Linked DNA regions of Mus musculus. The protein of the gene in region 2 purifies or fractionates together with the protein of the main gene of each other region. This does not show direct contact. Links are inferred from orthologs where the notes say so. Each region holds a gene or a part of one and is shown on either strand. Other genes may lie near its edges.

Evidence for each region.
Region 1: the proteins of Prpf19 (region 2) and Plrg1 purify together in Homo sapiens (affinity purification with mass spectrometry; 8 studies listed by BioGRID and IntAct, counting the BioPlex papers as one, with this or other methods). This does not show direct contact. The link is inferred for Mus musculus from reciprocal best matches to the Homo sapiens genes PRPF19 and PLRG1.

What each region holds. Positions count from the first base shown.
Region 1 is NC_000069.6:83,069,038-83,072,537, forward strand, and holds the end of Plrg1 (pleiotropic regulator 1), read left to right. Parts: coding exon 1-27; intron 28-655; coding exon 656-764; intron 765-1,559; coding exon 1,560-1,699; intron 1,700-2,152; coding exon 2,153-2,346; intron 2,347-3,073; coding exon 3,074-3,133; 3' UTR 3,134-3,254; downstream 3,255-3,500. UniProt on the Homo sapiens protein: Involved in pre-mRNA splicing as component of the spliceosome. Component of the PRP19-CDC5L complex that forms an integral part of the spliceosome and is required for activating pre-mRNA splicing.
Region 2 is NC_000085.6:10,894,071-10,898,030, reverse strand, and holds the start of Prpf19 (pre-mRNA-processing factor 19), read right to left. Parts: upstream 2,801-3,960; 5' UTR 2,582-2,800; coding exon 2,563-2,581; intron 529-2,562; coding exon 379-528; intron 215-378; coding exon 138-214; intron 1-137. UniProt on the Homo sapiens protein: Ubiquitin-protein ligase which is a core component of several complexes mainly involved pre-mRNA splicing and DNA repair. Required for pre-mRNA splicing as component of the spliceosome.

The DNA.
Region 1 (3,500 bases), on a different chromosome or scaffold from region 2:
AGGCTGCAGAGCCACAGATCATTACAGGTACGATCTGCTGCTCCCCCTGAGCCGTACCAGAGGCACGGCCGGCCATTCTGCAGCCGCCGCAAGCACCTCCACCTCCGACCGACTCGCGTTCTAGTTTCTCTTTGGATTTTAATCATGGGCATTTGAAATTTAGGATTGCAAGGTGTTTTCTAGGGTTTTTTGTTTGTTTGTTTATATTTTTATCTTGTGTTTTTTATGTATCATTACATAAAAAGGTTAGGCATTGTAACCTATCATTCTAGTATGAATCTTACTTGAATGACATTGGATCTTAACTGTGACTGGAAAGTCATTCTTTCAGTTGGTTTGTTTTGCTAACTACAGATTTTAAAATAAAAAGATTCATTTTTTCCCCTTCCCTGCCATTGGAGTTTAAAATTACATATTTGTTTTTATTTGCTCTTTATACTTAGCCACTCTCTACCGCCTCTGGCAAAAAGTTAAAAAGAACTAAATATAGAATAACTACAGTTTTAGGATTTTGAGGAAATGATTCACAGTGATAGGACTTTCATTTAGTGTACACACACACACACACACACATACACACACACACAGACAAGTACATTGTGTTTAATGGGTTTTAACTTGTGGATTCTGTCCGGTCTCTGTCTTTTCACTACAGGAAGTCACGATACCACAATACGATTATGGGATCTAGTGGCTGGAAAGACACGAGTGACACTGACGAACCATAAGAAATCAGTGAGGGCTGTGGTCTTACATCCGCTACTGTAAGTGTGCTGTGCTGATAGCTTGCCTTTCTCCGCGTCTCAGTGACGCTGAGGCCAGGGGGGCCTGCTGTACCTCTGCCTGTGCTGCTTAGGACGGCCTTTCAGTTCCCATCTGCTGCTGTTGCCTCGTGCTCTGTGGAATGAAGGCCATAGCCCCTCTACAGAGTGACAAATAAGGCCAAGTTGTGGTTAAAGCTGAATGTCAGAGTAGGCGGGAGTCGTGTCTGGACATACAGGGTACTGGACCCACTTTGACCTGTCCAGATTGTTTCACATATGGTGTCCTGTCAGAGACAGAGCAGAGTTAGATTCCTAAGGGAGAAGTAAGTGTGCAGGAAATGGAGGGAGAGACATCAGCACTGCGGTTCCCAGAGAAGGCAGGCCACTCCTGACTCAGCTCATCCCACACACATCCCCCAACCCTCCCCCACTGCTCCCTGCGCCTTCCCTTTCTTGTCCCCTTCCCTTCCTTTCCTTCCTTTTCTCTTGTCATCCCTCTCTTTCCTTCCCTTTCAAGATTTTTTTTGCCCTGTGTGTGTGCACATTTGTTGGGCTAATTAGTGTGTAACACACTAAAGAAAACAAAACACTGCTCTGGGATCTAAAGTAGTACATCTCAGCAGCTGGACAAGGCTGGTGGAACTTGGAGCGAGGATAGTGATGAGTTTGTACTGTGGTGAAGTTACATTTTACTGAGGCTGTCTGGAGCAGTGAGCACACAGAGCTTTTTCAAAGCTGCGAGTTTTCTTTGATACAGTGTACTTTCCCATTAATTCCTGTCAATCTTTGTTCTAGTTACACATTTGCGTCTGGTTCTCCAGATAACATAAAGCAGTGGAAATTCCCCGATGGAGGCTTCATTCAAAATCTCTCTGGTCACAATGCAATCATTAACACGCTGGCGGTCAATGCTGATGGAGTGCTTGTGTCTGGAGGTAACACAAGGTTTCTATGGTGTGTTGAGTGTGCCCTTCTGTTGATGTGAGTGAGTTAGTATCTAAAGCATCACACTGTTGTAGTGACACACCTACTAGGGTGTATGTGCCTGTTTGTAATGTGCCTGCCGTCGTGCTCAGTGGTGTTCCATGCAGCATGTTGCATAGTTTAGACATCTTTGCATTCCCATGTGATGAAGGTAGGGATTTACGCTAGGAACTGCCTGATGTTTGGTTGGATTTTAAATGTTATGGTGTCTATAAATTAGAGACTTAGAGGGAATTAGAGAGAGAGGGAGGGAGGGAGGGAAAGAGATAGTGTGTGTGTGTGAGTGTGTGTGTGTGTGTGTGTGTGTGTGTGTGTGTGTGTGTGTGTTGCTGGTGTAATGTTCAGCTCCTGGGTCATCTGAGCTGTTGAGGGGATAGAAGTAGAGCTGTGTGTTTCCCTTGCAGCTGACAATGGCACCATGCACCTTTGGGACTGGAGAACTGGCTATAATTTTCAGCGCGTCCATGCAGCTGTACAGCCTGGGTCTTTGGACAGTGAGTCAGGAATATTTGCTTGTGCTTTCGATCGGTCAGAAAGTCGGTTACTAACGGCTGAAGCTGATAAAACCATTAAAGTTTACAGAGAGGATGAGACTGCGGTAAGTTCTTAGTGTCCATCTCTGTCTGTCTGTCTGTCTTCCTATCTTCCTTCCTTTTTAGTTTAATTTAATTTTATATTTTATATTTAGAGACAAGGTATCACATGGTACCTCTGGCTGGCCTGGAACTCACTTTGTAGCTCAAGTTGATTTTAAACTTGAAACTGTCTTCCTGCCTCTGCTTCTCCGATGCTGGGATTTTGGGCATGAGCCAGCACACCCAGCTTTCACATGCATTTTAAAGTAAAAGAATTGCATGTCAATTTGACAAGGACTGCTCATTTGAGTACAAAAAGAAACAGACTCACTATAGTACCATCAGTTTCATCCTCTGGATAGTGATCTGACCTGCTCAGGGCTTCTGTGTGGTTTCATTGATGCAGACACATCAGTGATAAAGCATTACGTTTTAAGTACAGTTCTGCCTCAGTACAGTTCCTGGGAAGGAAATGATACATTAATCGTGGCAAACAGGAGACTGCTGAGGGAAGGAGGGTAGAGGTAGAGCGCTGGGGTTGCTGTAATAGCTAAATGGAAATCCAACCGAACCCATGTATCCCTGGTCAAACTTGGATAATGCCAGAAGTTTGTCAGCTGTTTCTAAAATTTTTCAAGAGCCACTCAGCACGTCCTGCCAAGCAAGTACTATGATTTAGCAGAGACAGATCTTTTCATTGAAAGGAAACAAACTAATAAAATCACACTTTGTTTACTGTTCTGATTTTAGACAGAAGAAACTCACCCAGTCAGCTGGAAACCAGAAATTATCAAGAGAAAGCGATTTTAGTGTCTTCATGGCTGTCCTGTTCGTGCTTGGTGTTGATGAGGATATCCGGTCTTTCATGAAAGCTCACTTGCAGAAAACATTGCTGCTTTGTATTTTACAATAAACTGCTCCCATGTCCCTCACCTGTGTTTTATTTCTGAAATAAACAGTTTATAGTTTTAGAAGTAAACGGTAAATATAAAGAATTCAGGCATGTTGAGGATTGTTGTTCCTAACACTATTTTGACTGGGTTTTTTTTGTTTGTTTGTTTGTTTTAGTTTTGGTTTTTATTTTACATGTATAGGTGTGTTTTGCCTGCATGTACATTTGTGTACAACATGTGTGTCTGGTGCCGATGAAGGCCAGAAGAAGTTGTCAGATCCCTGA
Region 2 (3,960 bases):
ACACGGTCATACATGTAAGCCAAAGACCCAGACACAGAAGAGAGAGGGGAGGGGAGGGGAGAGGAGGGAGGAGGGAGGCCCCATCTTTTCAATCCCCAGGTCCTAGCCCAGAGGTGCATTCTTTTCACAGAACTCACCCACTCATCCTGCAAGGCTTTCAGAATGGCTGGGATGCTGGTGGCGGAGGGAGGCTTGGGTCGGATTGGGTGAGCAACTGCCAAGAGAGGCAGCAAAGTAGGTATGAAGAACTAGAACCCAGGGAACTCTCCCCCACCACCCCCACCCCCAGCCACCATCTTCTCCACCAGATTGGCTCCACCCCCCACCGGTGAAGGCTGAGCTGAGCTGGCCTTGGACTTGAGGCTACTGGGCAGGCACCTTTGATGTCGATGAGCTGCTCCTCTGAGAGAGGCTGGTTGTTGATAGGATCTGTGCCATTCTCTGCAATGTACTTCTCAATGAGTCGCCGCTCATACACATGATTAGAGACAGGGGACACGCACGGGTGCTCTGGCACTTCATTGGAGACTATAGAGAAAGACAGGTAGTGAGAGTGAGCACAGGAGAAAAGGAGACGTGGGCAGAGGAGATTCTTCATTGTGTCAGCCCCAACAAGACCATGTCCTCCTAGTCAGCTATCAGGAAGCAAGGTCTGTGACAGCAAGCCTGCCCGTACTTGGTCCTACAATGCTCGCCAACTACTTAGCTAAATTCTCTGGTCTGCTGATAATAAAAGTCAATAAATAATAACTGCCCAGATCCTATGTGCCAGTACTGTACAGAGTGGTCAGTAAGTCCTGCCCATCTCATTTTTGAACCGAGATGGACAGAGAAGCACACAGAGCACAACTCAAACCTGTCATCCAGTGGGAGCCCTAGACAGATCAACAGGAGAAATTCCGAAGCAACGTGACAAGTACTGATAAAATGAAAACAAGCAAACAAAGAGCTCTGCTACTACATGCCAAGCAAGATTCTATTCTAAGCGCTTGACAGAATAGTCTGTGTACCCTTGAAGATGGCCGTTACAGCTGTCACTGACCTCCAGGACAATGCAGATACTAAGCTGACACTTGATAAACATCATAACAGGGTAAATGAGTGCAAAAGTCCCGGGGCCCAGAAAAGAATATTCCAAAGTACGAAGCCTTGAGCATGCTTAACTACCAAAATAAAAAATAAAGAAATGAAGGCCCCAAAAGCAGGCTTAAAACCAAGGTCTCTCTGACCTTCTCAGACTTGTTTCTCTACCTTCCCCTAAACAGGGTCAACTGGTTCACTTTAGCAGACAAGTGGAAGCTACCTCCACATCAGACTCTTCTGAAAGCTGCTCTAAGATAGCGACTTGTCACATCACAAAACAGCTCTTATTCACCACACAATTCTATTCAGCCTCCCATAGGTTGTGAGTCACCATCCTAAGGTTCAAGCTCCTATTCTTCTCCGTGGCTTCTCTTAGAATCACCTATTTTTGCAGGACTCCCATGCATGTGTTATTAAGTATGGATTTGTGCCATATTTAAAACCCGTATCTTGTACACGGCCTTCCTGTCCTATTCTGTTGGTTTATCACACTACTCGACGACTAAAGCTTTCTGGGAGCTTTCCCTCTTCTACCAGAGGAAGGATAGCCCTGGGCACGTAAGAGTGTGGTCTCAAAGATGGAAAGAAAACAAATCGTTTGTAAATACTTTGCAAACTGCAATTTCTCTAGTATGAGATTTCCTTTTCTGCTTGTCATTTCCCTCCTCCTTTTCCTTCTTTGAACTAATGGCAACGTTCTGAGAGGGAAATAGAGAAGGCGAGGAATCTAGTAACGTGGTAAACAATATGGGAGAACACCCGCAATGCCGTAATACAACACCCCAAGACAGGACAGCATAGTGCACGGGAAAACCATGGATCCAGGCTCAAAGAGCCAAGCTCCACTGCTTAGCTTCCTCGCACACCCCTAGGTAAACCCATTCTTCAAGACTTCCGACACCCTCTGTAACTCACGGATCTTTATTTCCCTTCAGACAATTCTTGTAAGCATAAAATGAGATCACCGTTTGGAAATGCATCGTAAATCAATACAGGTTTTCTAAACATTCGCTGTTTTCATTAGTCATACTGCGCGAGGCTAGAAGCCAGACACCTGGCTTCCAGCCCTGTCTCGAAGTCACTGCGTGATCTCTGCAAATCGGAAAGTCCGATTCCTAAGCGAGGTTTCCCAAGCAATGCCCACTGCAATGCTTTCAATTTTGCAGATGGGGAAACTGAGGCCCAAACCCGCTAGAGCCCAGATCACAATTGGAGGCGGATCCTGGGCATGTCCTCGGGTTTTTTGACACCAAGAGCTGTTTTTCACTGCACCAGCTCCTCCCCCCCACTTCTGCTCAGGCCTGTCTCAGCTCTGTAAAACGACGCCGGTTTCAAAAGACCCCTGAGACAGTCATTCTTCCCAGCTACGTGAATTGCGCAGCCCTGCGCAAATGCACCCTGCACGCAGGGCCGGGAGCTCCAGGGCCCGAGCCACAGGGGCCACACACGCTCCCGCCTCCCGCCGCAGCCAGCACTCACTCGAGCAGATCAGGGACATGGCGCCGTCGTAGCGCTGCTGCCAGTCGCCTCACAGAGGGTTCCCGGTTCTCTGCAGCCTCCGCGGGCCACTTCCGGTCCCCCGCCGCTTCCGGAGCGCTCGGACGCGGGTAGACAGCTGCCCAGCGTGGCGATGCTCGCACAACTGCTTCACGTGGGGAGGTGGCCGGTGGCGCGCCTCAGCCTTCTGCAGCTAACGGAAACTGCCCTTTCCCAGCATGCAACCGAGCAGGAAAAGGCCCGCCTCGAAACACTCGGCTGTTTCCGCATTGGCTCGGCTTCTTCCGGCGAGCGCTCCAAGAGGCCTGAGGCGGGAAGGAGAGAAGAAACTACATTTCCCATGAGGCTGCGGGGACCGCCAAGGCTCTTTTTTTTTTTTTTTTTTTTAGATGGAGCTGCTGTCACCTAGGGAACACTAGTCTTTGAAATGGTCGTGTGCAAGACAGATTTTTCAGGAGCTTGTAAAAGTGCAGATTCCTAGAGTCTGCCTTAGAGAGTCTGTAGGCATGATTCGGAGACCTGTGTTCCTTGGCCGGCTTTTGAGAAACAATGTGACCCTGTAAATAAAGCACAAATGAGTAAAGAAACTAACACTGCCTAAATTCTTGCTCTGGAAATATGGGCAAGCCAATGACTTCGTTGCCTGCTACGTTTTAAATATAGTCTGTTTTGTAAACTCAAGGGAATTTAGTTCCCAGCGTCTTATGTGTACGTTTAAAAGAATGGAAATTTGATGGGTGTGTTTGCAGAAGTCTTTAAACACAGGCACTGGGCTTCAGAGGCAGGCAGATCTCGGAGTACAAGTCCAACCTGGTTATATAGTGAGCTCCAATCCAGGGCAGTCAGAGCTGTGTAGAGAGAACATGTCTCAATAAGCAACCAAACAGTAAGAGTGGAAAGTTAGCACGACTATGGTGTTTTTCTGTGGTTTTGTTTTTGTTTTTTTGAGACTGGGTTTGTGTGTGTGTGTGTGTGTGTGTGTGTGTGTGTGTGTGTGTAGCCCTGGCTGTCCTGGAACTCAGTCTGCAGATAAGGCTGGCCTCAAACTCAAAGATCTTCCTGTCTCTGCCTTTTGAGTGCTGAAATCAAAGGTGTGTGTCATTACTATCTAGCTTAACTGTGGAATGTAGAGGTGGGATCTTTAGAATAAGACATTACAAGAATCCTGGTGGAGTTCATATAGGGAAAGAAAGAGTGAACAGGCACAAATGAACCAGTTGACTTCCATGGCAATGTGACACCAGCAAGGAAGAGGCCCTAGACATTGCCCACGTCATTCTCTTTGAACCTTGTGCTTCTAGAAATTTGAGCAAGGAGAACCCTCTTTTCTTTAAAGTAGCCTACCTCAGGTGTTTTGTTATAATAACAGTTCCCTGCCTC